Bombyx mori: one gene and its partner. The protein of the gene in region 1 purifies or fractionates together with the protein of each later gene. This does not show direct contact. Links are inferred from orthologs where the notes say so. Each region holds a gene or a part of one and is shown on either strand. Other genes may lie near its edges.

Region 1 (17,069 bases):
ACTTTTCTATACCTTCGGTTCCCATCGTAACAATTTTAAATCTTATCAACTAGCTTTCAACACAAATAGCTTCATTATAAGAGGATCAATGGTGTTTCGTAATAACAAATATAGAGGACCAACATACGAGCAAAGAAATCGATGAAATTTATCAACATAATATACCACATACAATATCTTCAATGTACAAACACTTCTGTTTCATTATATGTTATAAATAAATTACACATACAAAATTTGTTTTTAAAAAAAACTACATTATAATGTTTATATTTCAGCATTTCTTAAAAGAAAAGCATTATTACCAATTAGTTACTTACATATTTTTTTTCTACTATGGTTACCAATTCATATTTACATTCCTGGCAGTGACCCGCTGGTCTCAATTTATTTCTTTCAAATTTATATATATATATACAATATACTAAATTTACACACAAGCAATAAACTAGAATAATTTATTGAAACAATTTAAATGGCATTAGGTGCGTAAAGCTCAGTTACAAACGTCATTAAAAACAATATAATTTAATTATTGAACAGCAAATAAATATAAATTAAAATTAATTCCGATTCGATAAGTGTGATGTTAAAAAATCACTTTTTATAATAAATAAATAAATTAAGGAATAAATAAAAAAATCATTAGCTTATATATCATAACTTTTACATTTACTTAGGTATACAGACGATCATACTGCATGATCGCTGGTTAACGTCGCCCATGCCGAACAATTCGAATGCCATGTTCAAGATCATGCACTTGGACTGTCAACAGTAGTACTAGATTTTATAGATAAAATATAACTAGGTCAGTCTAAATCTAAATTTCAACTACAGTAAAGCGAATACAAAAGAACCTTCCGTTTTAGTCTCAGCGCTGTACACTTTAGTGTTTTCAGTTTCCAACAAATTGAATTCTCCCATTCCTATTGCTCTAAATTGTACATATCGACGCTTGAAAGGCAAACGTGACTAAGCGACGATAACTGCTTTGTACATAAATGATAAGCAATAACCATATTCGATGCGCAAAAAAAAAATATAGTTCTGGGTCTATTAAAATCATTTCAATCCTACAGCTACTAGCTAGATTCTACTACAGCTAGATTCGTTAAAATAGATTTTTTTTCATGTATTTCAGCTATAAATTAGTCTATTGTAAAGTTCACGCATTGTCGCTTAGTCACGTTTGCCTTTCAAGCGTCGATATCTTCTCTGAATAGTATAAAAGAAATACAAGGCATGTTTCGGTCTGTCTCCCGCTCACTTCTAAGACGCGCAAATTTTGATACCATCTTGACCAACCGACAAATGAAGAAGACTTATGCATGTGATTTGTAAATACTTTAACAAAATGACGAAGTTACGTCAAAACAAGCCTGTTCTCACTGCCGTAGATGCGAGCGGAGAGCTAGCCTATGTCTAAACTATGTATATATTTCCGTAAACGACATCGGGACTTTTTGGCGGGGACGCGAGGAGTGAAGTTGTGTGATTTGTTTTATTTTGTCTATTTAGTGTTTCTTCAGGTTTAAATGTTTAATAACGGTATTTATTAACTGTTTAATATCTGTGAAAGTGCACAAATGTGGGAAAATGAAACAAAGCCGCTGGACGTAACTTCCCGGGATCCTCCAAAAAGTCCTAATGAAAAAATCTCAGTAAATGACCACCATTTTACTGAGATTACCTTTCATCCCATATCATCTTATCTCATTTCATTTAATTTCATCCCAGTTGATTAATGTCTCAAATTAATCATCTTCACTTCATTTCACTCCATATTATCATTTTTCATAAAAATTAGAACATAAATTAAAATAAGACATGACTCAAAGGTCTCAGTTACCAGCTCATAAAACCCCCTATATAAAAAAGTAAACAACATCGCGGTCAATTTAAACAACAGCAATACCTTTACGCTTTCAAAATAACGTATTTATTACGTTTAGGTTAGGAAAAAAGTTAAAACGACACAATACTGCCACATTAAGTACAATTGTAACTTTAAAACGCAACTTAATTATCTTATGTAGTCCAAAAGTTCGAGAAGCAGTAATGACGCTTAGTGCACTGATCCCGTACTAAAGTTATCGCCGTTTTTTTTATTGCTTAGATGGGTGGACGAGCTCACAGCCCACATGGTTTTTAAGTAGTTACTGGAGCTTATAGACATTTACAACGTAAATGCCGCCACCCACCTTGAGATATAAGTTCTAAGCTCTCAGTATAGTTACAACGATTGCCCCATCCTTCAAGCCGAAACGCATTACTGCTTCACGGCAGAAATAGGCGGGGTGGTGGTACCTGCCCGTGCGGACTCACAAGAGGTCCTACCACCGGTAAGGTATCGTGTTGAGAGCTTTGTTATGCTGGAGCGGGATCGGGTGTGCTCTGGAGATCAAGGTCGCGCGTCGTTTGAAGATTCAACGTCACTCGAGCTGCTGGAAACCGATTTCTTCGGTTTGTATTCGGTTATGACAACGGTAACGCCACTCACTGTTACCTAAGAAGAGAATATTTCAGTCAAACAACGCCGCTACTGTCCCGGCTATTACTTACTAACTTATGACGTCACTATACAGATAGTTTATTTCATTGTTGTGTAGACGGGGTGGCCGTATGGATGCTTCGCAGCAGAAACAGGTCATTAAAATATATATTATATTCTTTAAGCCTGGTTATTTTGGTAACGATATTAGGTCGAAGCAGTAAAGTTGTTTATATATATGGACCGTTTATTTTGAAAGTGGTGTAAGTCCATTTTCTTTTGTTTCGAGAAAATTAAAGGTTACTATATTTGTTGATTTAAAAATACAGGCAAATCATATTATTGAGGTCTGGCTATGCCGTCTACCTCTGTCAATTGGACTTACACCACTTTCATAATCGATGATTATGCAATTTCATTTACCGACCGATTTTAAGTTGTAAAAAACATGGGATTTTTTGAGAAATTAAACACGGACAAAAAATTTACATTAAATTAAGCATGAATTACGTGATAGCTCATTTTTCTCAAAAATAGACTTACACCACTTCAAAATAAACGGTCCATATATATGTGTGTGTGTCAAATATATGGTAGTGTGTAATGTGTAAAAAAAATTTAGTGTAGCCTTGGCGAAATTTGTGATTATAGAAGTATAAAATGTAATCATAAAAAGTATACAAGCTTATAATTTCAATTAATTATAGTCGAATTTCGACTGCCGGGCGACCGCTAGTAAAGTTTTAATGCGAGAAGACGATATACGAGGGCTGCACTAAAAGTATCGGGAATGGAATATTTCCACTGTTCCTGTCATATTAAAATCTTTTTAATTGAAAACTCCTTGATTTTAAAAATCGAATACCATTTATTTATTTAAAAAAAGATTCTCGGTTTTGTCACGAGGTTTTGTAAAACTTGTTTAGTCGTTGAGAAAATGGAATTGACTCGAGAAAATTCAAGAGCGATGATTTATTATGACTTTCGAAGTGGTTTAACACAAAAACAGTGTGTTGACCGGATGATTTCTGCATTTGGTGATGAAGCCCCATCCTAAACCATAATTTATCGCTGGTTTGCTGAGTTTCAACGTGGACGTGTCAAGCTCAGTGATGATCCCCGTCAAGGTCGTCCAAAAACTGCAGTCACCCAAGAAAACGTTGATGCTGTGCGTAAGTTGATTGAGGAAGATCGACATGTGACATACCGCGAAATTCAGGCAACTTTAGACATTGGCATGAGTCAAATACAAATAATCTTGCATGAACAATTAGGTGTAAAAAAGTTGTCTTCCCGATGGATACCGCATTCGCTCTGTGAAGAGCAAAAAGCGGCTCGCGTTACTTGGTGCGTCAGAACTCTCGAAAGATTCCACGCAGGATCCTCAAATACTGTATACAACATTGTATCAGGTGACGAATCCTGGATATACGCGTACGAACCCGAAACAAAAAACCAGTCACGAGTTTTGGTGTTGGAAAATGAGTTAAAGCCAACAAAAATTGTTCGTTCACGGAGTGTTGCAAAAAAAATGGTGGCCACGTTTGTCTCTAAAACCGGCCATGTTACGACTATTCCTCTTGAGGGACAAAGAACGGTTTATGCAGAATGGTATGCTAGCATTTGTTTGCCACAGGTCGTTTCTGAACTCCGTAAAGAGAACTGCAACCGCCGCATCATCCTCCATCACGACAATGCGAGTTCTCACACCGCGCACAGAACAAAAGAGTTTTTAGAGAGAAAACATAGAATTATTAGACCATCCGCCGTACAGCCCCGACCTAAGCCCTAATGATTTCTATACTTTCCCTAAAATAAAGAATAAATTGTGTGGACAGAGATTTTTATCACCTGAAGAAGCTGTGGACGCCTACAAAACGGCCATTTTGGAGACCCCAACTTCCGAATGGAATGGTTGCTACAATGATTGGTTCCATCGTATGGTAATATGTGTCAAATTTCGCGGAGAATACTTCGAAAAGCGATAAATACATTTTTAAATATAATGTTGTGTCCCTTCGTTAATTCCCGAAATTTTCAGTGCCGCCTATGTAGATATCCTAAACATTCGAATTTTGTAATTCGTACCTCTCTGGTTTGGGCCGAGCTGCGGTCCACGTTGTTGAGTCTCGGCGGGTGGCGTCGTTTCTTCTTGAACGAGTTCGCCGAACGAGGCCGCTTCTGGACCGAGCTGCCCGTGGGCGCCGTGCCGGACGCTTGCGCGGCCACCAGAGCGGGGTTGAGCCGAGGCTTGCGGGTCGATGTACCTTAGCGGAAACGTCACCTGCGTTAAATGATTCGTTTGCCGCTGAAGCGCTTGTGAATTATTTTTTTTTAAGAAATTTTCTGACCTGGTAAACAAGACCTTTAAGGTCAAGTCTTATTTTAATTTTAATGATTTTTTTATTTCTTATATGGGTGGACGAGCTCACAGCCCACCTAATGTTAAGTGGTTACTGGAACCCATAGACATGTACAACATACATGCGCCACCAACCTTGAGATATAAGTTCTCAGTATAGTTACTACGGCTGCTCCGCCCTTCAAACCGAAAAGCATGACTGCTTCACGGCAGAAATAGGCAGGGTGGAGGTACCTAGCCGTGCGGGCTCACTAAAGGTCCTACCACCAGTAAACTTTTTTATATGAAAAATGATAGAAATGAAATGAAATGCGATGAAATATAATCTCAGTAAAATAGTGGTCATTTACGACAATGCCCCTGTCATTGTTGACGTCCATGGGCGACGTTAATCAGTCACCTTCAGTTGGGCCGTGTGCTCGTCTGCTTAAAAGGGCAATAAAAAAAAAGCTAAGGGGTTATTCGTTGAGATTTGAATATTTTGAGAACTACCGTCTATTTGTCTATAATAAAAGAAAATGACTCGACTTTTATTTTTTTTCCATTCACACAGAAAACAAGCTACCAGGCCTCCAGATACTGTTTGTTCTTTAGTAAACACGTGATTAAACCTCAAAAGTTATTTTAATTATGCCTGCCGGTCGCGACAACCACAGACAATACAAAAACAATGGCCGATACGATTCTGAATCAATAGTTTTCAAACAAACTAATTTAAAACGTCTAACAAACATCCTTTAGTGGGTAACCGTTGAAATTCAACTACAGAACATAAGGTCGTAAATACGATTTTAGAAACTGCGAGGAGCTTAGTACACGGCTCCCGGAGGCACAGCGGAATTAATGAATGTACCCTCCGTTAAGGGCTTTTGAAATTCTCAACCTGCACTATTAGGGTTGCCACCTTTTTTTGCAGATAAAGTACATCGGCTATTATGGGTAGGAAAAAATGTACATAATATGAAAATAAAGTACAATTTATTTAAAATCTTTTATTAATTACATCATATTTTTTTTAAAAGATTTTATAAATTAAATTTAAAAAACACTATATAAAAGTAGATTGCCGCTGATGGCGGTGTCTACGACACAAGCCACCAGTGGTTAGGACTCCAGAGTGAGAAACCTCCTCACAATGCGTGCAGTATCGAGGTAAAATGTATTTATTATTATTATGTTTAAATACATATTTTTTATTACAATTGATAAAATTAAACACGAAATTGTGACAATTAATGACAGTGACATTGTTGACATTTGAGGTTAAGTTGCGTTCAGATTTAATTGTTAAAAAAACGACGTATTTCGCCTAACGAAAAAATACATATTATGACTAAAACTTTTAACAAATAAAATCTTTCCGTATACTTTATTTTTCAAATATACTTTATTTTTCAAATAAAGTATAGAGTACAATTACCTGAAAAAACGTACAATACTTTATTATAAAGTACGCGTGGCGACCCTATGTACTATGTATAGAAAACGTAGGTTTCTCTTCGATTTTCGCGAGTCACAGATATAATTTAGAGCTACTTTTACCGTTCGATCTCGCGTTTATTATTTTCAACGTTTCTAATACTTTTTACAGTTACCGTGGTAATCACGTACGAGTCAACAAGAGTCGTCGAGAGTCAGTAGGACTATGTTTACGATTAGGAATTTCAAAATTTCCAAAATAATTTAATTGAAAAAAAAAATTTTTTTTTATTGCTTAGATGGGTGGACGAACTCACCATCCACCTAATGTTAAGTGATTATCGGAGCCCATAGATATTTACAACGTAAATGCGCCACCCACCTTGAGATATGAGTTCTAAGGTCTCAGTATAATTACAATGGCTGCCGCACTATACAAACCGAAACGCATTACTGCTTCACGGCAGAAATAGGCAGGGTGGTGGTACCTACCCGTGCGGACTCACAAGAGGTCCTACTACTTACCAGTAAATAGCTCATTATTCAAACCTCACTTGTCTATTACCATAAAAACTATGAAATATTCGGACCCATTGCAAAAATTACCTCACTCAGCTACCTTCGTACCAAAACAAACTAATTCCTTAACGCCAGATTTAAAAAAAACAATTTTCCAAATGGTCTCTCATTTTTCAATTAATTTTCTTCAGTTTGTTTCAAGAGACCACTATAACATGTCCTTCTTCAAACAAGTATTTGAAAAGTGTCCTCAGAAGTACAAGTTACTTTAATTGCACATTTGACATTACAGAATTCTGTGAGCAACACAGTAACCATTTACCATCAGTTGTCCTGTAAGAATGTGCCAATAATGAAAATGGGTAGAAAGAATAAATTAATCTTATATATGAGTCGACTATTATCAAAGCCGGCAATCTGACTTTTGGACAATGATTGGTAAATCAGAAAAACGAATTATTGACTTTGTATTCCATTGGCAGTCACAAAACTCTTCGGAACGACATCTTAGATAAATAACAGGTTAACTATTAACCTTTATTTAATGCAGGTTTTGAACCGTATTCTTTGAAGGAGACGATTATATTCAAATCAATCTGTATTGACATACCAATAAAAATTTTTGTCCAAATGCACAGATTGCCACCTTTGATAATAGACGATTCATATACAGTGTTATAAGTTTATAAACCAACATGCTGGAAATTCCCATGTTATTGACAATATTTATCGATAGTGACACACATTGATAGGGCAATCCTTGTAGTAAACATACACAGAAAGTATATCTTATACATACAAGAAACATGTATATTATGATAGAAATAAACAAGTGGTGGCAATGAGCAGCCTTATCACTTCTATATAATAAGAGATAATTTATATAGGTTAGTAAATATATGTTTCCAAAATAGAACATCAGTTGTTTTCCAGAGAGCATATCGACGCTTGAAAGGCAAACATGACTAAGTGACAATGTGTGAACTGTACAGTAGACTAATTGAAAGTTGGAATACCTGAAAACAAAATTTATTTTAACGAATCTAGCTGTAGTAGAATCTAGCTAGTAGCTGTAGGATTGAAATAGGTTTTAATAGACCTAGAAATATATATTTTGTTATGTACAAATCAGTTATTGTCGCTTAGTCACTTTCGCCTTTCAAGCGTCAATATGTATGTACATTTTTTTTTTTTTCTGGACTATGCAATAATATTGAGATCACAACATGAATGTCCTCGCTCATTAAGTACTTATTTGAATAACGGTAAGCTCTTCATACCATAACAAATGAGTGCTTTGCCAACAAAATTAGTATAATACTGATGTCTAACATCATACACTTAAAGTTATGCAAAATGCCAAATATGATGGAATATTTTAATAGCAGTTATGTATATATGGTGGTTCATGTCCATCTCATGGTATACTCAAGATTGCTTGTTGTAATTAGAAACAGCCATTATACTTTTCAGTTAAGATTTTTTTTTTGTCCAGTGTTATGTACTATTTTGATATACAAAAACACAAACCTTTCTACTTTGTATGTACAGAAAACGAAAAAATCTAAGTCAGGTCATCTAGGTAATTCGTGTTTGATGCTTTGCCTATTTTGATACAAGAACATTATAGGAAACCGTCTTGAAGGTCTACTAGAGAAGCAGCCGGTAGAAAAATGCACCGCTATAGTGAAGTTTTTGGTTACCAATTTAAAAAAAAAATTATATTCTACTACTTACTGACTTCGGTGTAGAAATACTATGATTACTTCTTTCCGTACTTTTATTGCGGAACTTTAACTCGTAATCAATGTTTGATACGTCGAGATTTTATTCTTATATGAATCTCATACTTATTCGCTCTTATTCGTAACGTCGCCCTAGACTAATCAATAATTTTCGTCCTTGGTTTAGGTTTTAGGTTAGAATTTGAATACGTAATGTGAATGCCCTTTTATACTTAAATGTCTGCAGTTCTGAGCGTTTTATTATATGAAAAGGTTACGTAGTTAATTAATAAAAAGCTCATTGAAACAATCATCGTGTTAAGATACGTGGCTCTGTGTGCGTGAATTAGATCATTTAGGTCAAATTCGTGTGCAGAATTTACATATATGAAAAATATTGGCGTTCAGTTACAGTATTTACCTTTTCTAACGTCACACATGGAACATTTGAAAGCTTCCGCGTTATTCCTGTACGTGCAAACACTACAATCCCAGTAGTTTTCTTCCAGCACTTTTGATGGCCTTTTGGCTCTTCTAATGGCATTTTTCTTGTCCATTTTAATGCATACACGCAACTAAACGTAGCTAAGACACGTCTATCATGATATTTTTGATTGAAAACTATTATTTCTAATGCACAATTGTGAATTAATGCGTCGGGAAATCATTATTTTTGTTTTACTGTGCACAAAGATTGTACACTTTTACGCCATGACAGCCGTCAATGTTACGTCGGTTAAACAGCGTGAAGGCGCCACATTCTTCTGAGCTGTTTTAGCTACAAAATAGCAATACTAGATGGCGTTATTCATGAATTAAGATTTATAAATTTTTCTTAGAATAAAATTCAAACATAATAATAAACAGCGAATAAAGTACATAAGTATATTGTTGGTTGGGCTTAATAGAAGACCGAATGCGGATATGGTCATTTTATTATTGGTCCCAAAATTCAAAAGGGCTATTTTGCGGCAAAGACAGGCAGAATGGTGGTGAACTAGTTGATAAAATTAAATAATAACGCAAACGTTACCATAATAATATTATTCTTTCCGTGGATTGTTGAGGCGGGAGGTGGATCTTCTTAGTATAAGGTCTATGAACCTAGTCTTATCTAGTCATTCATTACTTTGGAACCAAAAAGAATTAGCTGATAGCACAAGTCTTTGACCAGCCACAAAAGGGCCGCTACATTAAGTAAAGGTCAAGAACTCCAAACGTTTTAAAATTCGAAATATCTATTCCAAATGACACACCAACACTAAACCACTGAACCCAAATATCAGTCAACAAAATTGTGTACATTTTTAAATAGGTACCGATACTTAAACGCAGAAATTCAATTATGTGTCTTATACTGGTTATTTTAAAGCTTAAAATCGTTTAAACAAAAACTATGAAGCACGGTAAGCCTTTGAGAAATATTTCTATGCCGTTTCTTAGAAAACGACCCCTTTTTTGTGACGGCGATAGAAATAAAATCTCTACCTGAGTTTTACGAAAGAAGTCCTTTCATTTTTTTCTACTTGAAGCGAAATACGCGTGGTTCAAAAATCTTGGATCTTTTCACGAAAATTATCAATTTAAAACGAACGTTTAATTCTAACTTTGAATTTATTGTTTTTTTTTTTTCTAATACGAATCTAATTTCAGCCTGGCTTTCCTTGACCAATAAATATTCCTTTTTACGAAAATTGCGCGGACGGAGGCGTTGAAAATTTCCACACTTAAAGAGAATATAGAGAAGTGCACAATGCTAATATTTTTTTTAAATAATGCATAAAATATACATTAATTAAATCAATAAGGAAAACATTACACACACTACATACCATGTATTTAACGCACACACGCATGCATACTATTTATTATCAAGCTTTTGTTCTTGACGTCTGTTGTCAAATTGAGAATAGATTAAACATTGTTTGTCTTTGTTAATATTTTTTTTAGTGTAGTCTTGGCGAAATTTGTGATGATAGAAGGATAAAATACAATTATAATAGTGTACAAACTTACAATTCCAATTAATTATAGTCGAATTTCGACTACTGCGGGACCTCTAGTACAATTAAATAAATATAAAATAGTTTGTATCTCAGGAATGTGGGCAAGATAGGATCATAATAACAAATTACATTATTATATTTGCAACGTTTCGGTCTTTTATTAGACCTTCATCAGACATCATAATATGAATTCCAACAATCACTATCCTACACTGCACAATTGCCTTAGTCATCATAAATTAATACAAATCAACAAAGCTGATAAATTAGTTAATTATTATTCTTGATTTTAGAAATAAAGCAAACACGACACATAAAAATTGTTATTGCGTGACAACGGTTAGGCCAAAATAATAGCAAAAATAATAATGCAAATTTGTTATTATGATCCTGTCTTGTCCACATTCCTGAGATACAAAATATTTTATTAATAATTATGGACGATAATATTGATAATATTAAATAGATATATTCGCCGAAGGAGAACAGTCTTAACTAAGCGATTTCTAAGGTTTTCGCGGGTAAAATTAAAACTGTTTTTAAGATTTAATCTCGGGTTTATTTTCGCAGTCGTCCGAGATCACGGGGCTGTAAAGTATGCGAAACGTCGGAAGTAATAAAATAAAAATAACTAACGCGTGCTTGCACCGTAAAAGTAGTTTTAATTATAACTTAACTAAGGTCTAGATTGGAATGAGTAGCAACACTTTATAAGCTCACATACTCATGTAATCAGAACGCAAATTATAACGGGTGTTTTATTGCTAAATCTCTTTTATTAATTCGGAGAGAGAGAGAGAGAGAGAGAGAGGGAGAGAGAGAGAGAGAGAGAGAGAGAGAGAGAGAGAGAGAGAGAGAGAGAGAGAGAGAGAGAGAGAGTATGATTTTTATTGTATCTACATCAAAATAAATAAAAACACAACATTTTAAATACGAAAAAGTACAATGGGCTAAAAGCGATATCTTCCGAAAAACCATCAGGTTGTATTTATTTTTATTGCCCTTGTAAGCAGAGGATCATACGGCCCACCTGATGGTGAGTGGTTACTGTCGCCCATGGACTTCAGCAATACCAGGGGCAGAGCCAAGCCGCTGCCTACCGTTAAGTATTCTCCACAATCCTCGTTTACTTGTACTTTTTCTTCGTAGGTACATAACTCCTTCATCGCATGCAATTTCGAAAAATAGCCTTTAAGTACGGAGTCTTAAAATCTTAAAAATGCTACTTAACCCCCTTCATCCTCATGACTTCAATTAAAGGTGCGTTATATTTGTTCTAAGCATCAACAGTTCGATTTTTTAAACTGAAATTCAATTAAGTTTACCCCATTCAAATAGGCGAAGAAGTTTTTTTTGTTATGATATTTTTGTCGTCTTTTTGTTATGATATTTTTGTCGAGTTTTAAACATTAAATGGCTCTCCTATGAATTTGAAAAAATGTCGCTTATGCCACCTTTCACCCCTCGATATGTTGACCCAAACAAAGTAAGAAGTTTCAAAGCTAGTTTACTGGTGGTAGGACCTCTTGTGATTCCGCACGGGTAGGACCACCACCCCGCCTATTTCTGCCGTGAAGCAGTAATGCGTTTCGGTTTGAAGGGTGGGCAGCCGTTCTAACTATACTGAGATTTCAGAACTTATATCTCAATCTGGGTGGCGCATTTGCGTTGTAGATGTCTATGGGCTCCAGTGACCACTTAACACCAGGTCGACTGTGAGCTCGTCCACCCATCTGAGCAATAAAAAAATATATAGTTTTGGATTTTTATACACAAATTTTATCTAGCACTCTTCACTGGAAACCTTCATACTCTATAGTGCAACTTGCTGTGTTCAAGCCCACTGAGTTTCTCGCCGGATCTTCTCAGTGGGTCGCGTTTCCGATCCGCTGGTAAATTCTGCGAATTTATATTTATATTTATATATTATATATATATATACATCTCCGACTGTTAAAAAAGAAAGAAAGAGGTGTCTTAATATGGAGACCCGATTAGAAGGGAGTTCCTTTTGCTATATCTTTTTTGTGTTTGTATTTTTTGTATAGCCTTTATTGCTGATATATAAACAATGATTTTACATACAGTAGCAAATTGTTTTAACTTAAATCTAATACATCGGGTTTCCCGGTTCAGTGATCAGCGTATCCTGTGACACATAGGTCCCTTCCAGCTGCTTCCATTCTTCTCTATTGGTAGCTTTTCTGAACCAGTATGTCCCTCCAATCATCTTGATATAGCCTGTCCAGCTTCTAGCTTTCCTACCTCTTTTTCGTTTGCCATCGCGTGGCAGCCATTTTGTTATAATTTTAGTCAATTTCATTCTGCTTTCCCTTGTCATATGTCCTGCCCATCGCCATTTTAACTCTTATTTTCTTTAGTACGTCTTCCACCTTTGTTGTAGATCTAATGTCTGCTGCTCTTTTGCGGTTTTTTTGTATTTAGTAATAATTTAATTTAAAAAAGTTAAAGAGTCAGTCTAAAATAATTAAACGAATCACAAAATGTGAGTGATCTTTGCTCAGAATTCGTATCTCAAATGCATTCGAATAATTTTGTAATATATTATTCATTAACACGAACAATCTAGAATGTTTAAATTGTAAAATAAAATACAAAATAATAAAATTCTCTAAAATGTCAAAAGTGCAACGACCCCAAAACGCATTTCGTCGCGTCTACTTAAATTGCGTGCAATGTTACTAAATAATATCTTAGCAAACGCATTAAAACATTAAAGTTTCTTATTATTTCAGTAAAAAACGTAGCTAGTCAACGACTGTATATAGTTTGTAGTAAGGCGAAGTAAGACCAGGCAGTGCTTAAGACCTGAAAAGAAATCAAATCCAATTACTTAACCTTAATAATATGTGAGGTGAGTGACATTTTCTTCGGTTTTGCGCGAATTCGCTAAAGACATAAATTTAAATTTAATTGTTTTTTTTTAATAACCAAGAATAAATCACGCGCGGTCATCTGGCCTTAAATCGGATTCCCTGTGTTATAGGTACGAGAAACTGATAAAAATACATATATATTTTTAAATATATAGACATATGGATACCAAACACCTAAGCAAAGAGCAAATAAAATTGTTCATCACACAAAGTTTGCCCCATGTAGGAATCGAACCCACGACCATCGGCCCAACAGTCAGGTGCGCTTAACTACTGCATTACCGAGTCAGTCAACCTATTTTGAATACGCTTTTATTAGCTACAGACGTATGTATGTTAGTATGTATGTAACGGAATCTTTGAACATGATTTTGACCCCCTTCGGACTAACTCGAAATTGTTGGCATACTTATTAAGGACCGATGACAATTCAATATTAAAAAAATATATATTGAAAAAATTGAAATTCAACTAAAAAAATAAATCATATTTTTAAAAAACTAAAAAATTACGCTTCTATAGAAAGCCCGACTAAAAACGAGAAAATAAATTTGAATAAATTTGAATTAAAAATAGTGTAAGAAAAAATGATTTTATTGCAAAATTTTATTGTATAAATTTATATAGTGTTGGAAACGAGAATAAGAGTAATTATTAATGTTTAATAAATTACCTCAAATACTTTTTAAAGGTATTAAAAAAAAAAAACGGAGAGGATGTTTTGGCTCTGTGGTGAAACTTATTAATAGAGTTATTTGATTAAATTATGGTTGTCAACAATATATTATATAAGGTAGACAGTCAGGGAATGCCTATGACATTAAGTCCGCCTTTATACTGTCTAGTATATAAAGCTATAATACAAATAAATAAATATAGCATCTAATTTTAGTACCTACTACTAACTTAAGCGCTTTGTTTAAAAATGAAACTGTCTCTAAGCTAAGTCTCTAAGAACTCTAAGATTGTTTCTATTTATATTGTTGGAAGTGTGGTTATTGATGCTGACGTAAAACTTACCCTCATAAACGCCTTTAAATTGACGTAAGCGAAATGAGCAGCCGTCAGCTCACAAGGTTTCTGGGCCCTGCGGTGAAAAATATAAAAAAAAATTGCAATGTTTTTTTTTCGTGAAGTGCGGACTGGTTATCATTCTCGCCGAACCCGTCGCTTGCGACGAAGGGCTCGACGAGTAAATCAACCCACAGACATAGCCCACTGAGTTTCTCGCCGGATCTTCTGGGTCGCGTTTCCGATTCGGTGGTAGATTCTGCGAAGCACTGCTCTTGCTAGGTCCAGTGTTAGCAACACTCCCGGTTTGAGCCCCGTGAGCTCACCTACACGTTAGGGTGAAGCTGAAATAGCCTCAAGGCTATCAGCATAGGTAAGATAAAAAAAATTGCGCTTATACCACTATGTGGGTTGGGCGCAGAATCTCCTGTTTTTCCATTCGACCTATCATACGTCATCTCTGCACTGAGATTCTTCTCTCGCACTCACTCTTTCACACAGTCCGTCCAAGTATCTTTAGGGTACCCCCACTTCACAATATTACCTATATTTTCTATTACCGTTTCTTGCGATAGAATCGAATGGAACTTTTTGAACAAAAACCTGAATCGCACAAACTGCATTTACAAGCTGGCATGTTATATTCAAACAACAACTTTCGGTGCTTCGGTCTACTTAGCAATGTTGTTCCCTACAGCTTTACCGGAGAAAGGTTTATCATGAAGCGTCACTGACCTCGTGATGGTGAAAAGCAAATCTTTTCCCGTTGACGCTTTTTCGGTGTACCAACTGCAATTGTATACGGCATTACCGACCTCTTCGCTCTGAAATTAGGTAATAATGTAACGCCCGAATTTGGGTATCGATAGATTCGTATAATCCCACCACTATTCTATCGTAGAAAATACCGAAACAAACATTTTAAGTGCTCGTAGTGGAAGGAGAGAGATCAAGAGAATCAACTATCAAGTGCTGGCTAGATCTCCACGTGACGTGACCGGCACCAGAAATTAATGACGTCACATCACCAGACAAAGGATAAAACAAATAATTAAAACTATTTTTATGGTTTCATCTCATCGCGTCTCGACTACTGTCGCCTTGACTACCAAAACTGTAGGTAGAGTATTCGAAAAGTCTTAAATAATAAACCCGAGATTAAACCGTAAAATTTTTTTTTGTTTAGAATCGCGAAATTCTAATAAAATATTGTAGATACAAGTCATAACATTGCCTCTTATAGTAATGAATTTGAAAACAATAAATTATAGAAACTTACTGCGCTCATCAGCATATCGAAGAAGCAGAGGAAATATACTTGCATTAAACTCATGGCCAGAAATATAAGATATGTCATTACAATAGTTACGTCGTTCACTACCTGTAATGTGAGCAAACAATTGGACTTTATGATTTAGATCCCTTTGCTCAATTTTTTTGGTGCTAATCAAAGAAAACTATAGGTAATGCAAAACAGGGTATGCGAGGATTTTTTGGCGGGAACACTAGAAGCGAGCTGTGTAAATTGTTGATGTTCTTGGCCCTTTAACATATGTAAAAGTTCACAAGTGTGGGAAAATAAAATTCTCCGATTCTTCCAATTCTTCCAAAAAGTTCACTGAAGTCTCAGTAAATAACCATAATTTTACTGAGTCTTTATTTCATTCTATCTCATCTCATTTCATTCTAATAAGTTAATCACAATTTATGATAGCCTCAAATATATCAATTTCATCTCATCATATAATGTAATATAATGTATTTAATATTTGAAGATTCTTAAAAACTCGACACTGTTAACAAAGGCATTGCAAGAAGCCAATTGTTATACTTAAAAAAAAGAATGGGGCAAAATAATACGCAACAAACAATAGGTCACCAATAAATTGAAACAAGGACATAATTAAAAAGCAGTGATTAACTACTATCATCGTCTATTGTTCACACAAATAAGATAATAATAAAAAAATAAAAAAAAAAAAACAATTACCGTAACATTGAATGCGGACAGACAAATAACTAGAGAACTCAAAACAAAGTTTGATAATGTGGACTTTGAGTAAATCATTTCTAGAATACTCGACGATCTGCAAAATGAAACGTCACTATTAATTTACGCCTGTCTGTGAATTATAGAAAAAACCCTCACTTTTTTTTTTGCATAAATCGGTGGACGAGCTCACAGCCCACCTGATGTTAAGTGGTTACTGGAGCTCATAGACATCTACAACGTAAATGCGCCACCGACCTTGAGATATAAGTTCTAAAGGTTTCAGTATAGTTACAACGGCTATCCCACCCTTCAAACCGAAATGCATTACTGCTTCACGGCAGAAATAGGCGGGGTGGCGGTACCTACCCGTGCGGACTCACAAGAGGTCCTACCACCAGTAATTACGCAAATTATAATTTTGCGGGTTTGATTTTTATTACACGATGTTATTCCTTCACCGTGGAAGTCAATCGTGAGCATTTGCCTAACTACCTACCGCTGGTAAAGGTCTATTCCAGGTAGGTACGCGCGGACGGGCTCAACCTGAGAGAATTTGCTTACACTAGTCCTACCAGTTCTTCGCAGAATCTACCACCGGATAGGAATTGCGATCCACTGAGAATATCCGGCAAGAAGCTCGGTGG
Region 2 (17,102 bases), on another chromosome or scaffold:
AAATAATATAAACTCTGACCCAATTCCCGTCTTACCTATTTCTGACCCTCTGATCTCTTCTCAACCTGTACCCGAACAAAATCCACATCACTCTAACACATCTAATAGTGAATCTCCTCTTGAAACACTTCCTCTAGACGGCTTACTTACGTCAAGTCCTTTTAACCCTGATGATTACAACTTACCTTCACTAGAACCCCTTCAAGATATCGATCTCCTACCAAACAGTCCGTTCAATCCTGAAAATGAAATAGATGACCGCAATCTTAATAACAATGATAACATAAATCCTCCGACTAACAGTACTCCCAACCCTATGATTGATGATGAAAACCTACCAAGAAATCCATCAATTAACCTTCCGAGTCCCGAACCAAATTGTGAATCCTATACAGACTTTCTGAAAACTTTATCAAATAATAACCATACTTACAATACTAAAATTTGCGAACATGCAAATTCATTACTATCAACCGATTCAAAAATCATAGTCATTCCAACATCCATCGACCTCGATGAAACTAATCCATACATTGAAGAAATCCTGAATAACCAAGAAAATATCTCTGAATTCCTTAATGAAGAAAGAACCTTACATTCATTCCTTAACCTGAATGTTAAAGATAAATCTTATTATTTTTTATTCACAAAAGTATATCATTTCGACACTCCTCAGTACCCTCAACTATTTAAATCCTTACAAAATCTCCGAAATCATTTACTTATAGAAAAGGACATTCCAGTGAATATTGCTATATCAGACTTTAATGATCCATTCTTTAAACCAACTTATTCTAAAATATATAACATTCTTGCTTTTTTATTCCACAACACAGATATTACAATTAAAATCTACAAAAACTCAGTAGTTTTTCCAGCCCCTAGCGAGATTTCAAAAATCCTTAAAGAAAATCATGACCTTCCCATCGCTGGTCATGTAGGCACATCACGAATGTATAATCGTATTAAAGAAAAATATCATTGGAAAAATATGAAATCAGACATTGAAAATTATGTGAAAAAGTGCATACAGTGTCAAACGAATAAGGCGCTAAGACAAATAAACAGGCAACCGATGCAGATAACCTCTAGTTCAACAGCCCCATTTCAACGCATCGCCTTAGACATCGTCGGACCATTACCAGAAACTGGTCAAGTTAAGCTTAAATATATATTAACATTGCAAGACGACCTAACAAAATACTCTACTGCCTACCCTATTAGTAATGCCTCAGCCGAAGAATGCTGCGAATGTCTCATACATTTTATATCTCTTTTCGGAATACCAAAAATAATATTAACAGACCAAGGTACAAACTTCACCGCCGACCTTTTTAAGAAAACTTGTGAATTCCTCAAAATCAAACAATTATGGTCTTCGCCCTACCATCCTCAAACACAAGGAGCCTTGGAAAGGAGCCATTCTACACTAAAAGAATATTTAAAATCATACGTTAACGAAAATCAAACCAACTGGCACAAATATGTTTACACCTATGTCCTAGCCTACAACACTAATGTACATACTACTACAAAATTCACACCCTACGAATTACTCTTCGGCCATAAACCCTATCTACCCGATTCTATTTACGATCCTAGTCCTAGTGGTACCTATCATGAATATGTTAAAATGCTAAATCATCGCCTCAAATTAACACGCGATAAAGCTTTAGAAAATATTCAGAAATCAAAAGAAAACTCCAAAACCTATTATGACCGAAGGTCTCGCCCTTCCACGTATAAAATCGGTGATATGGTATATCTAAAAAACCACTTACGTCTACGGAAAGCATTATCACCCTTATGGAAAGGACCATACAAAGTGGTAAAAATACATGGAAACCACACACTTTCCCTTCTCATAAATCGACGACACGTAAGACATCATTATGATGAAATTAAACATGCAGAAGTTGAAACCTAATAAGTATGATTGTGTAATTAATATGATTAATTATTTTATTAGTTTTATTTCCTCTCTAGTATAACTTAACTCAGTAGCCTTTAAGTTAAAAACATTTATCGTAAAACATAAATAATAATAAATACATTCTCTTACAGCCTGTCGGCACCATGTCAAGGCCTATCACGCACTCGAGAAATTACCAATATCGAACAAATTACGAAAAGCCCTGGCATTTACTTTAATCCCTCGGGATCTGTTAGGATAATTAGTGATTATTTACATGTATTAGTACCAATGGACATAGACTACATTAAACCCCATATAGATAACATTCAGACGGTTTTGCATTCAGCCAGATACTTCTGTACTAAAAACAATGTGGTTGACGACCTAGAGTGCGAGAATATGTTCATGCCCCTTTTATCTATGTTCAATGATATCTCAAGGGACTACCACGCCATTTCTCATCTTATCCAAAGTAAATCAAAGAGGTCTGCGTGGATTTCCGGCATCGGCACTATTCTTAAACATATAATAGGCACCATGGATGAGAATGATGCTATAAGGTATAATAAAGCCATTCAAATACTTAAAGATAATAATAGAAAAACTCTAGATTTGATAAAAGAAAATATCCTTATCTCCAAGTCGGCAATTATAACACTCAACGAATCCATAATTGAAATCAACACTAATGAACATAAATTAAACAAAATGATTGAAAACCTATCTTCCAGTATTAAAAACCTAACAAAGGCAAGTAATGCCTTGTTGTTTAAATCTACAATACATGACATGATAAATGTTATTCAATCAAATATGTTAAACTTGTCCTATAAACTAGAAGACATCATAAACTCAATTTTGTTTTCAAAAACCAATACGCTACATCCATCAGTCATAACACCCAAAGATTTGTATTATGACCTTGTTAACAATGTTAAATATCTACCTAGATATTCGGAATTAGCTGTAAGTTTAGAATTAGAAAACATATATGTACTTATAAATCTCTCGGAAATTATTACATGTATTTTAGAAAATAAGCTTATATTTAGTCTTAAAATTCCTCTAGTACTCATTGATACTTATACTTTGTATAAGACAGTACCTATACCAGTACCCCATAATGTAACATCCAAATCTTTTGCACTAATACTACCTACATGTTCTTATGTGGCCTTAAATCAGAGAAAATCGAAGTATCTTAAACTCGATAATCTTTCTAAATGTAAATCTATTAATAAGGAAACTCATATTTGTAAACAATTAGATGAAATAGATATACAAGACTACCCCATCTGTGAAACAGAAATAATGACAAAAGTCTTGAAATCACTTCCGAAACAGTGTAAAACTAAATTTTTATACGGCCATGCCAACATATGGCAATCCTTAAATAATAATAGATGGGTCTTCACACTATCTGAACCCACTAAACTCAACATTGAGTGCACAGACGAAACTACCGAATATATAGTTTCAGGAACAGGCATATTATCCCTGAAACCAAACTGCACTGGATTCTGCAAAAACATAAAATTAATAAGTAAAAGTTATCCTGAATATAAATTCAGTCACATACACTCAGAATTCAATTTAGTAAACGATACATGTTGTAACCCAGCAGTGTTTGAAAATTATAATTATACCGAATCTATTACAGGACTGCATAACTTAGAATCGAATAATTTAGACCAAATAATCAACAAAGCTGATAACATGCTACAAACCTTAAAACATTTAAAATCTCAGAACGAATCTATTTCGATAAGCACTCCCCATTCCATTGTCACATACTTATTTGTAATACTATTTGTTATTTTTATATGTTATTATTTTTGTCATAGAAAGTGCGTGGCTTTTGTGCGTAAATCTAAACCAAACGAAAACACGACGCAAATAAACACACCCCCACAAGAAAATATTCAACTAAATACCCAACCGCGAATAAGAATCCATTAAACTTTATATTAAAATAATCATCGAAAACTTCGGAAAGCCGTAAGTTTTCGCTTAAAGGGGGAGCTGTTATAATATTAACTAGTATATTAATTAATTTACCTAAGACCGAAAAGTGCCTCTAGCAGCACTTTCCGGCCTAACATATACTAGAGCCCCGTTGGCTCGATGTCAGTCACTCTGCGTCGTTACTATGAGCCACACTCTTTCTAAGTAGAATTTTGTATCTTCAAAGTGAATAAAATCTTTTTTAAAAAGAGTTTTTCAAAGTCCCGTATAACAGAGCGCATTCCATTACGCTAACCCGACCTTACGAATTCAGCGCATGAACGCCATTACTTCGGTTAAGGACGAGTCACGCTTTCTTTGTTACCACACTGGCCACTGCATTAGGGACCAGTTACATAATAGTTTACCAGCGTAATAAATAATAATAATAATAATATAGCATCCATTATGGATTTGGTTCGGATAGCATTTGCTGATTTCCGAACTTGGAATGATATTAATGATACAATAGACTTAACTTTGTATACCTAAGTGGCCGACATTCTAAACCCGTAGAATACGGATAACGGATACAGAACTATCCGTTACTTTAACAATTCCTGAAATTTGATCAGCATCGATGGAAGGTGTAATTAACTCACGTGGATCATTATGGGACAAAGCAGTCATAATATGTTATATTTTAACTGTTTTGTTTCTTTATTTTAAAATTTAGTTTTAGTTTATTACAGATTTAGGCTATAAAAAATTAATTGGGGCCTTCGTTTTCATTTTTGAAGATTGTTATCATGTAATCACGTTCCGTTTTCTATTGCATCTGGTTTCTAGTTACCACGAAATGGGGAACACACAACTCAGGCGAGCAGACAGACGCTCTTCGAAACGTCATGGCATTCGAACAAAGCGCCTAATAAAAAGTTTTACATTGCCAGTGTACTTTATTGCTATTAATTAAATTCGGGCACTTTAAGTATCTATAATAATCTTTAACATAGTTATGAGTTAAAAAGTTATACAAACTAATAAGTCTGTCCTTAATTTTTAATTAAGAAACTGAGACTGCCCAGGTATCTAGGCAATAAAAAAATATTATACACAATAATAGAAAACGTAAGAAATTTAGAACCTTTTTACCTACGATATCAGATCAGGAATATGGAAATTCGCAGGAAAACCGTAATAACTGACATAGCCGAAGGAATTGTGAGATTGAAGTGGGCAGAGCATTGCTCGTAGAACAGATGGCCACTATGGCTGAAACGCTTTCGAGTGGCGACTGTGTAAAGATGTAGCTTGGGTGGAGCTCCCACAAGGCAGACCAGCTACCTGTTAAATATAGCGGGAATCCGCCGAATGCAGACAGTGTAGGACCGGTCGTTGTGTCGAGGCTTTGGGGGGGCCTTTGTTCAACAGTGGACATCTGTGGATATTGTCGTTTATTTAACTTTCTATACATAGCCTGGTTTTACTACTCATTCAGTTTCGAATAGGTAGCTTACTCATTATTGAATTTTTACCAGGCATATGTCTTCAAATCCAATTTCGTCTTATTGCAGCCAATTTAATTTATTTTTAAATTATTTCATTTTCATTCATAAAATAATTTTCATTACACTTTTTTAACAACTAACAGAGATTCGACATATACTAAAGTAGGGACCCGCCCTTGCTTCAGAAACTGTAATTGATTATTGATTTCTCCACTATTTAATGGATGTTATTATACATATAAACCTTCCTCTTCAATCTCTATCTATTAAAAAAAGCGCATCAAAATCCGTTGCGTAGTTTTAAAGATTTAAGTATACATAGGGATATAGGGACAGAGAAAGCGACTTTGTTTTATACTATGTAGTGATGAGGTTTACTCGCAGATGCTAAATTCCCGTTGCCTAGTCAAAAAACGAAACGAAAAAAAATTAAAATGTCAGATTGTCCTACTTGCCAGTTGTCAAATTTTGTAAAAATAATGCTTCATGCTTGTTTTCTCCACACAAAACTAAGTTTTTAGTTAATTTCCAATTATAAAATACATTAATTGAAGGTACAGAAGCTCATGGACAGTTCAATATTTAAATAGGTATATTTAAATCAAACATAACAAAGCCGCTTGGTGGCCATTCTGTGATATTACGGCAAAGGTACATAAAATATATATTTTTTGTAAATTTAAAACCATATGTAAAAATCTAAAAAATATAACTTGAAAGGTATGAAAACTTACGTACTTGAAAGACAAAAAAAATAAAAAAGTCACTATTCATTAAAATTTCATATAAATATCATTTTGATTTGTGTTTTCAGAAACATTAAACATTATCAGTGATGTCGATGCCACACAGCAGTTCGAGTACCAGTTCAGGCACGAAACGTAAAGAAATATACAAGTAAGTAACGTTACAACACAATATGAACTATAAATAACAGATTGGAAATAATTGACAGTATAAAATACAGAGTTGACCCAATTTTGAGATTGCTAATTATAATTAGGTATAGCGTGTTATTTATTTCTGTACCCATTCCTATGTTTCGAAACATTTGTAATACAATCAAGCAGGCATTATGGGACTTACTAATTTAATGCTTTAGATGTTTTGAAATATACAGATAATCCTTTCACAATTCCCGAAAAGAACTAAAGTGATGTTAACAAATTGCAAAAACAGCCTTATCTTGATAATTACGTACGAAATTTGAGTTGTTCATACAGTTAGGTTAAATTCTCATAAACGAAGTTGTGATAAAAAAAAAACACTATAAGCTAGACAGCTGCATTTCTATGTCACACATCTTTTACAGATACCAAGCGCCATGGCCATTATACTCAATGAATTGGTCTGTCAGACCTGACAAGAGATTCAGGTTAGCCCTGGGCAGTTTTGTTGAGGAATACAACAATAAAGTAAGCTTTTACAGAGCAGTTATTATATTAATTTAGTAATTTACAAAACATACCAACAGGATTAAGTAAATACAGTATAAAGGCCCAGATAATGAATCATGCAAAGCTAATGCAATTTTAGGGAAGTCAATTTGTCAAAAATTTCCCACTCATTGAATTATAAAAGATAGAGGTGTGTGCCTTATAATCTATAAATGCATAATATTACCAAAGAAAATACACAATAAATTACATATTTTTGTTGTTGTTCATTTTTCAGTAGTTGACAGAATTGGTAGGAGCACTTAGTTTGTGGAGGCTGTTCTTATAGACCAAGTAGACAAATACAGCAAGAAAAAAAAAATTCTAAGTAATTATTGGTGCATAATATTACTTACTTAATTCCACCATTAAATTAGTAAAAACTCAACTACATACTACTAATTAGTTAATTGTTTAGCATAATATACAAACATATAGTAAGTAAACCAGGAGTTCCCAAGATATATAACCCACTTAGACACACAATAACTTGACCGCAAAGGTTTTAATTGGTGAGTATGTTGTATGAATAGGAAAAGAACTAGGGATAGGGTTTTTTAAATAATTTGGGTATGGGGTTTTGAGGTATCAGTTCATTTTAAAAAGGGGTCTGCCAAAAATTGTTTTATATTACCTAATATAAATGAATTTATTAGTTTTCACTACATTGAAGGATTTTTAGTGAAAACTAATATATTAATGGTTTCATTTAACACACATACTGTATTGTAGCATTCCTTGTGCATGACATAAGCTTAATAAAACTCTTAAATCCTAGGTACAAATAATTTCCCTTGATGAAGACACAAGTGAGTTCACTGCAAAAAGTACCTTTGATCACCCGTACCCGACCACCAAGATTATGTGGATACCTGATAGCAAGGGGGTGTATCCAGACTTGTTGGCAACTAGCGGTAAGACTTCGGTAGCAGTTTGTTAGCACTAAGATTACCATATTTAATATGGAGATAATGAGGCTTGAATTTACTTTTACACTGCTACATAGACAAAAACATATACTCCCAAAAATAATGCTTACAATATCATCTCTCTCTAGAGAAACAGTATTCATGATAGTCTTTGAGCTCCATAAACCACTGAATTGTACTTAACTGAGCCTGTCTATCTCCTTTGTCGTCATATCACTCTTGTCAGAGCGGTTGTGGTCGTCATTCAGCATCATTGCTGAGGGCAGATGTTATGCGCCTCACAAGCAATCGCTACTCCTCCCGGTTTGTGGTGAGCCTGGTACACTCATGCAAACAATAATAATCAATCTACATAAATAAAAATAAGTGATACCCTATGAGTACAATATGAATGATTGTGATGTTAATAGAGGCAACTTTCGTTGACATAAACAGTTTTGATAAATAATCAAATTCAAGTAAAACTATTCAATAAAATTTCACAATGGTGCCTTATGTTGCAGGTGATTATCTACGCATATGGCGTGCCGGAGAGCCGTACACATTATTCGAATGTGTCCTAAATAATAATAAGAATTCTGACTTCTGTGCTCCTCTTACATCCTTTGATTGGAACGAAGTGGATCCTAACCTCATTGGCACCAGTAGTATTGACACGACCTGCACCATCTGGGGCTTGGAGACTGGACAGGTCTTGGGCAGGGTCAATGAAGTGTCTGGGCACGTGAAGACTCAGTTGATCGCTCATGATAAGGTTTGTGATTTTTATTTAATAGAAGATCTTGTTAATTCATTTGTGTCCAAAATTTATGTTAATGATTATCTGAAGATTATTGGTGTCTTCAAAAAATTTTCGTTCTGCGAATCTAGTATAACCCCTCGAGGTTACAAGAATATGTTGAAAAAAAAATTTTTTCAAATCAATGTATTCAAATATGTTTAAATCACTTATTACAATTTTGACATGATACATATTTATCAAACTAAAGAATTGCAGGATTGAAATGGGCATGTTACATACGTGCCCGATTTCATAATGATCACATAACATTTTAAGTTTTAATGTAATCATAAGCATGTAGTGTGAAGTATATTCAAGGATGCTCACAACAGATACTAATAGAATTTTATTCTATTGGAGATTCCATTAAAAATCTATTAGCATACACAAAACTGGTGGTAGGACCTCTTGTGAGTCCGCACGGGTAGGTACCACCACCCTGTCTATTTCTGCCGTGAAGCAATAATGCGTTTCGGTTTGAAGGGTGGGACAGCCGTTGTAACTATACTGAGACCTTAGAACTCATATCTCTAGGTGGGTGGCGTTATTTACGTTGTAGATGTCTATGAACTCCGGTAACCTCTTAACACCAGGTGGGCCGTGAGCTGGTCCACCCATCTAAGCATTAAATAAATAATAATAAACAAAGCCGAACGTATACGCCCCTATCTGGTTTTATACACCTTGACATAATACAAGATGCACTCTGCGTGTACATCTTGCTAGACACTGTAAAGTGATGGTTACTTGAACAATAATTTGTCCTTGTCTAACTCGCCTTAGAGAAAGGTGGCTGAACAAAACTTTATATACATGTGGGGGTATACGAAAAAAAGGTTCGACGGTCCGAATGTGGTCGTTCGGAACCTGCATATAGGCAAGCTTATTAAGCTATAGCAAGCTTGAAAATGTCGTAAGCGAGATTCGGGCATCAGTCAAATATCTTGTGTCGTGTGATGGCTACCCGCCACATGCAACTTCTCGCGTACGGCAGCCCTAATGCCGGTGTTTGTGCGCAGGAAGTGTACGACATAGCGTTCAGTAGGGCCGGCGGGGGGCGAGATATGTTCGCTTCCGTGGGCGCCGACGGATCCGTCCGGATGTTCGACCTCAGGCATCTAGAACATTCCACCATCATTTATGAGGTAAGTACAGGAGGCAGTAAGCAGCGTCTTTCGGCGCTCGTGCATGGGCGCATACTATCATTATTTGGACATGTCTCCCGGCGAGTAAATGACTCCATAAAGCGCCTTATCGTTCAGGGCAAAGTAGAAGACACCAGACCGCGTGGAAAGTTGCACATGCGATAAACTGACCAGGTCAAGTCAGCTATTGGCGGCTGTTTGCCTGAGTGTACCAGGCTCACCACAAACCGGGAAGAGTGGCGATTCCTCGTGAGGCGCATAACATCTGCCCACAGCAATAATGCTGAATAACGACCACGATCGCTCTAACAAGAGTGATACGACAAAGATAAAGATTCAAGAGGCCTGCGGCACGAATGACTAACACAATGAAGGAATGCCGCGTTAAGTCCGAGTTAGTTGACCATGTACTGTGGTAGTAAGACGTCTTGTGAATGTGCACGGATAGGTACCACCACCCTACCTATTCTTGTTGTACTGTGAAAAGTGAGGCCTTAGAACTCATGTCTCAAGGTGGGTGGTGGTATTAACTTTGTACACATCTATGGATTCCGGTTACCCCTTTAGCACTACGAGGGCCGTAAACAGCAAAGTAGAATCGGCAAAATTGCGGAATTTTCACTGTAGGTAGTAAGATCGATATCACAGATCTGCAGTATCGGGCTGCAAAACAGTCGTCTGTGAGGACCCGTGCAGTTTGCCTGTGAGCGCCACGAACTGGTCTGATCGTGTTTATGTTGAGAAGCTGCTGTCAACATAACAAGTCTTATGGCAGACTGTAATGTAACACGCAGGACCCTCAGCACACCCCGCTGCTCCGCCTGGCCTGGAACAAGCAGGACCCGAACTACCTGGCCACCATCGCCATGGACGCGTGCGAGGTGATCATACTGGACGTGCGCGTGCCCTGCACCCCGGTGGCCAGGCTCAACAACCACAGGGCGTGCGTCAACGGCATCGCCTGGGCGCCGCACAGGTTCGTAGGCCAGGTAGTAAAGTAGGAGCATCAAGGTTGCTAAACAAGCCCATCCGATATCTCCTCCTCTGGGACTGTGTTCCTCAGCGCATTATACGCAAAAGATAATTTGCGTAATGACTGGTGGTAGGACCTCTTGTGAGTCCGCACGGGTAAATACCACCGCCATGCCTATTTCTGCCGTGAAGCAGTAATACGTTTCGGTTTGAAGGGTGGGGCAGCTGTTGTAAGATAATGTAATACTGAGACCTTAGAACTCGTATCTCAAGGTGGGTGGCGTATTACGTTGTAGATGTCTATGGACTCCAGTAACCACTTAACAACCGGGTGGGGTGTGAGCTCGTCCACGCACCTAAGCAATAAAAAAAACAATGTTCTTGTCGTCAAGTTCTTAGAACTCTTCAAACTAGACTGTGCAGCCGAAAACACCAACTTTTGTTCTAATTCAGTCCGTAAGGTATGCTCCTTGTATTGTGAACGGACCACAATAATATAAATAATAGTTTAAAAAAAACAAAAGAAACGCTTTTATAGAAAATCCAACTAAAAAATAGAAAACAAATTTTAATAAATTTGTTTTTGTTGTGTTTGTAAATGTGTTTTTTAAAATAAAATCATTTTTTTTACACTATTTTTAATTCAAATTTATTACAATTTATTTTATATTTTTTAGTTGGATTTTCTATAAAAACGTGTTTTTTTTTATAACTTTTTTTTAAACTATTTTTATTTTTCATTTTTTAGTTGAATTTAAAAAATTAAATTTTTTTTTTTAATATTAAAATGTCATCGATCCTTAATAAGTATGCCAAATTTCGAGTTAAACCGACGTTTTGAAGGGGGTCAAAATCACGTTCAAAGATTCCGATACAAACTAACATACATACGTCTCATAAAGCTTATTAATAAATAATAATTACAAAATTTTAACCCTCAGACACAGCCCACTGAGTTACTCGCCGGATCTTCTCAGTGGGTCGCGTTTCCGATCCGGTGGTAGATTCTGCGAAGCACGGCTCTTGCTAGGGTTCGTGTTAGCAACGTCGTCAGGTTTGAGCCCCGTGAGCTCACCTACTAGTTAAAGTTACGCTGAAATAGCCTCTCAAAGCTCTCAGCATAGGTAGAAAAAAAACAATTAGAATAGTATGAATTCTTTTGTGTTATTTCGGTTCGTTTTAAAGTGAAATTTTTAATTCAGTTCTTGTCACATCTGCACCGCCGGAGACGACCACCAGGCCCTCATCTGGGACATACAGCAGATGCCGCGCGCCATAGAGGACCCGATCCTCGCCTACACCGCCGCCGAGGGAGAGGTCAACCAGATCCAGTGGGGCGCCACACAACCCGACTGGATCGCCATCTGCTACAACCGGCACGCCGAGATACTGCGCGTCTGAATATATCCTGATTGTACAATCCGGTGTGCAGTCGTGTGGACTGTAACCCCTGAAGCCGGCGTGTAGTTTGACGGTAGACGACAGTCGGTTAAACAATATACATATAGTCCTTAGAATCGGACGGTCGCAACAGATGATCCTTCGAGCTTGATTGTTGGAACGGGTATTTTAGTTGCAACATTTCAATTATTTTATAACTAAGAATTCTAGAAATAGTTCCTGTTTTTATTCAACTTTAATTAATTGTGCTCCTTGTGCGTTTTAAGGTTGAGAGAAATTTAGCAATTAAACAAAAATTAAAGGAATTTAAATAACACACTGAATACAAAACCTTGAATACAAAAAAATTATTGGTGAACGTTGACAAACTTGTATGATTTAAATTGAATGAATGATATTATAATAATTTCAAAATTTCCACAAACATTTCTCGAACAGAGTCCCCCTAACTCGAAGGTGCATTCTTTACACTAATCTATTATTTATAAATGGTAATAAAAGTAAACGTGTCGTGCTCGCGGCTGACAATATCTTGTCAATCGCCAAGATAATGTTGAGCTTGACTCCGATACTTAGGTATACACATTGCACTAGACCCCGCACACAACTTCATTACATACAGATGACTTTTTGGCGGGAACGCGAGGAGTGAAATTGTGTGATTTGTTTTGTTTTGTCTTTTTAGTGTTTCTTCAGATTTAAAATGTGTAATAACTGCGGTTTGTTAACCGTTAAATATTTGTGAAAGTGCACAAATATAGGAAAATGAAGAAATTCAAATTTATTCAGATTGCAGTACGAGCGAGATGATCGTTATACAATACAACTGATACAACTGATACTTCGACTTCGTGGTTTAGGACGGGTGACGCTAATCACGACGTGATGTCTATGGGCTTTTATTGCCTTTGTAGGCAGACGAGCATACGGCCCACCTGATGGTAAGTCCTTACCGTCACTCATTGACGTCAGCAATGCCAGGGGCAGAGCCAAGCCGCTGCCTACCGTTAAGTACTCTCCACAAGCCTCGTTTGAAGAAGGACATGTAGCGCTCGGGAAATACCGTGGAGGGGAGCCCAATCCATAGTCGGATGGTACGTGGCAAAAATAATGTCTGGAAAAGCGCACTGTGGGTGACCGCAGTGGCTCCAGGTAGTATGGATGAACTCTACTCCGGTGGCGGGCGGGCGATGGTAAAAAAGAGATGTTGGTATCATCTCAAACAATTTCTCAGAGCACTCCCCATGGAATATAAGGTACATACTCTGATAACTACGCCGTGGGTGGCGCTGAGACGTGGGTCCGTCACTCCTACGCAATAAAAAACGTTTTTTTTACTTACAAAGGCTGCTACAGCACAGTGACTTATTTGGCATGATAATAAAAAAAAAGACTGAAATTAACTGTTTGTATTTTTCCTGTATTCCAATATTATAAAATTAAGGAATTTTGGAGTAAAATTTTTCAAACAAAAAATATTAGTTTATTGTTTGTGGTCTTAGTGGGATTTGGTTAAAAATGTAATCGAAAAAATATCGCATTTCTTTCAAATTCGAAAATTGTAAAGCTAACGATTACATTAGTAAACTCATTACAAGTAACTCGTAACAAACAAGATCTGCATTTAATACAAAATTCATCTTTGTGTGTTGTGTACAAAAAATAAATCGCTAATATAAAATAATATGTACTTTACGCATCTGTTTGCTTCATTTTATTCCTTTTCATTTATCTAAGTCTGTAAAGATATTTTTCTTTGTGTGTTGTCCTCCATTATATTATATACGATCGCCGTAAAAACTATGTGTGTACTTAGTGCGAGTTTTTTAACGTTTTCAATCGCGTAAAAGTTAACTCCAATTTGTATGGAGTTGGAACAGCGCCCCTAGTGGCAAACAAAGGGAAGTTTTGTCCAACTCCATACAATTTTCATTTAACTTGACTTGTAATGACGTTTGCGACATAGCGGCAACCTTCAGCCTTCGACAGAGGGCGCGCGTGGAGCTTCAACACTTAGGTATATTTTATGCATTTACCGGTGGTCACAACAATATGATAGAAAAATTTTCGCATTTCAGACAAGCAAATTTGTTGTTAATTTCGTTATAACAATGGAGCCTTAGTCGGCATTTGATAGTAATGACGAAACCAAGCCAGTATTTGTAATTAAAATAACAAAGAACCACTAGTTTATCTGTATTCATCAAATCAATATTATAAAAATGTTGACTTGTCAACTTATTATAACTTATGACTTATTCTGTAAAATATAAGGACTAGATTAAATTATTAATTTATATAAATACATAATTACTATACAAATAGTTTTGTTTTCTGATTAGTAAATATAAATGGTAAAATAAGATAAGGCACTTTCATTTCGTTTCACACAGATTTCTACCCGAGACAGAATTCTTCATAGACTTTCAGTAATGTATGAGGTGTTCTGGGTTTAAAGTTTCTTAAAACATCCTCGAAATAAGTCATAGTAACTTCTGCACAGTCGAGATCTTTTTCTAGAGCCCTCAAAGCAGCTTCCTGACATAATGCATTCAACTCGGCTCCAGAAAATCCCTCGGTTCTTGACGCTAAAGCATGAGGGTTAACATCGTCACCAATACTCATTGTTTGAAGCTTCAGTTCCAAGATCTGTAGTCTCGTCTCTATGTCCGGTAAAGGCACGTAGATCAATCGATCTAGTCTTCCAGGTCGAAGTAGTGCTCTATCCATCCTGTCCGGTCTGTTGGTAGCAGCTAAAATAGTCACAGAATTTAGAGGTACAACACCATCTAACTCAGTGAGGAGTTGTGCCAGCACTCGTTCATGCACACCGGCCTCCCCTGCACCCCTTTCACCGCCTATGGCATCCATCTCGTCAAAAAATATCACAGACGGTGCCACTTGGCGTGCTTTAGTGAACAAATCTCGGACAGCCCGCTCAGATTCTCCCACCCATTTCGAAAACAGTTCAGGACCTTTAATAGACAAAAAATTAAGGCCACTTTCTGTTGCTAAAGCTTTAGCTATCATAGTTTTAGAGCAACCTGGAGGTCCATACATCAATACTCCGCCTGGAGGCTTCACTCCCAGCCTCTTGAAGCTTTCAGCGTGCTTCAATGGCCATTCGACAGCCTGTCGTAATTTTAACTTCAGATCTGCCATACCACCAATATCTGCCCATCTAATATTAGGTACTTCTATTAAAAGCTCCCTCATAGCGCTTGGTCTGACTATTGTCACTGCTGCAATCAAGTCCTCCTTCTCAATGTTTTTAGCTGAACGCTTTATGCATTTCATGGCAGCTTGTGTACACAGATTCACTATATCAGCAGCTACATATCCATGAGCAATATCCGATATTGTCTCAATATCTTGCGAAGACATCTGATTTGGTAAATTTTTCAGTAAGCTATACAAGATATCTTTCCTCCGCACTCTGTCTGGAACCGGTATTTCTATTTCTTTGTCTAATCTTCCAAACCTCCTTAACATAGGATCTATGGCTTCAGGCTTTCTGGTTGTAGCTAGTACAAAGACCTTGCAATTTTCATCATGTAAACTGTCTAAAAATGATACAAAGGCTGAAGTAATGCGTCTCTCTTGTTCAGTACTCCCAGATGAGCGCCTGGGACATATAGTTTCAATTTCATCAACTAATATAATGCTTGGTTGATTATTAACGGCCTTGTCAAATAAACTTTTCATTGTGTTTTCTGTTTCTCCAAAATATTTGCTAAATATTGCTGGTCCATTTATTTCTACATGGAAACATTTGAAATTCTCAATTAAGTATTTACAGATGGCAGTTTTCCCAATCCCTGAATGTCCATAAATAAGTAATCCTCTAGTTGGTTGGAAACTAGCTTTTAAACCAGCCTCATTAAAGGATATTTTAATGTATGTCTGGATTTCTTCCACAATATCATCAACTCCACCTAATGAAATTGGTTTCTTTTGTGTTTTTGGTTCAGATTCTTTACTCATACTCCAAATTGTTTCATTACTGAGAACAAACCAGTCTTTACTAGAGTTATCACTTTCATCTTTGGACTTCACAGTGATCACTTCTATCTCCAATCTTTTACCAAAATAATAATACACTAGTATAGTACCGACTGCTACATAATTTTTATAGAAATGATGTTTCAATATGTCACAGATGTCTGTTTTGATTTTGTTATTTTTTATTTTTATTATGACTTCCGTGGCTTCACTTACATTTTCTTGTAGAACTGCTACTGTAATTTTCTTATTTTCATTTTTCCATGACGCAGGAATGTCTGTCAGGTTTTTAAACATAATTAATATCGGTAATAATTGTTAAGCATAAATTGTGACTGGCATAATAATGGAATATTTCAGTAGTCAAAATACTGAAAGCAATAATATTATCAGCTATTAACGCTTTGCCATCCTCACATCTCATAAAAATGTATTGGCTTGGCATCAGCAGTGCTAATTCAGATGACTTAGTTTCTCTCCGAGACTCAACCCTGTTCACCTACTTTCATTAAATTCCGAAGATATGGTCACGACACCACTCTGATTTGACCGGCCGTTGGCCGCTATTTTGCGCCCGACACCCCTGTAGTTGCAGTGGCAGTGTAGTGGTTGGACAGCAAGGTGTTAACATAACCAGGGTAAACATGAGATGTACAAATTTTTAAGCTTTTAAATCAATATTAAACTCTCACCAGCGGCAGGAAGTATGACAGCAGCTGGGGAAGACGTTTTGGAGGGCCACATACGCTTCAACATCGCTGGTGCACCCTCGCGGGTTAGTTGTAATGCTCCTCCAATAACTGCATTTATAAGCGAACCAGCCGAAGGATGTACCATAACAGCGTCTCTAGGAATTCCATCAGCGGGGGATCCGGTCCTTTCGAGCCATGTATTTAGCTCTCCGTTATAAATAAATGGGCATTTCACTTGATCTTTTGCACAATTCAATTCCGTGTGAACATTCTTGTCGTTTGACGTTACGCTGCATCCACATTTCTCACATTCAACCCAAAGAGTTTTCTTAGCTTGTTTAGGCGGCATATTTTGGGGCTACCGTCGTTTATGA

The links.
Region 2: the proteins of Rybp (region 1) and DDB1- and CUL4-associated factor 7 purify together in Homo sapiens (affinity purification with mass spectrometry; 3 studies listed by BioGRID and IntAct, counting the BioPlex papers as one, with this or other methods). This does not show direct contact. The link is inferred for Bombyx mori from reciprocal best matches to the Homo sapiens genes YAF2 and DCAF7.

The regions. Positions count from the first base shown.
Region 1 is NC_085134.1:5,453,038-5,470,106, forward strand, and holds Rybp (ring and YY1 binding protein), read right to left. Parts: upstream 9,245-17,069; 5' UTR 9,076-9,244; coding exon 8,940-9,075; intron 4,762-8,939; coding exon 4,583-4,761; intron 2,510-4,582; coding exon 2,405-2,509; 3' UTR 2,112-2,404; downstream 1-2,111. Other genes in the region: Or-11 (olfactory receptor 11), read right to left, coding at 14,397-14,508, 15,168-15,256, 15,712-15,813, 16,423-16,519. UniProt on the Homo sapiens protein: Binds to MYC and inhibits MYC-mediated transactivation. Also binds to MYCN and enhances MYCN-dependent transcriptional activation. Increases calpain 2-mediated proteolysis of YY1 in vitro.
Region 2 is NC_085118.1:1,102,033-1,119,134, reverse strand, and holds DDB1- and CUL4-associated factor 7, read left to right. Parts: upstream 1-5,790; 5' UTR 5,791-6,021; intron 6,022-6,184; 5' UTR 6,185-6,205; coding exon 6,206-6,267; intron 6,268-6,682; coding exon 6,683-6,785; intron 6,786-7,584; coding exon 7,585-7,720; intron 7,721-8,238; coding exon 8,239-8,489; intron 8,490-9,535; coding exon 9,536-9,661; intron 9,662-10,455; coding exon 10,456-10,637; intron 10,638-11,835; coding exon 11,836-12,034; 3' UTR 12,035-14,402; downstream 14,403-17,102. Other genes in the region: uncharacterized protein LOC134199889, read left to right, coding at 1-1,927; ATPase family gene 2 protein homolog A, read right to left, coding at 14,432-16,314, 16,729-17,077. UniProt on the Homo sapiens protein: Involved in craniofacial development. Acts upstream of the EDN1 pathway and is required for formation of the upper jaw equivalent, the palatoquadrate. The activity required for EDN1 pathway function differs between the first and second arches.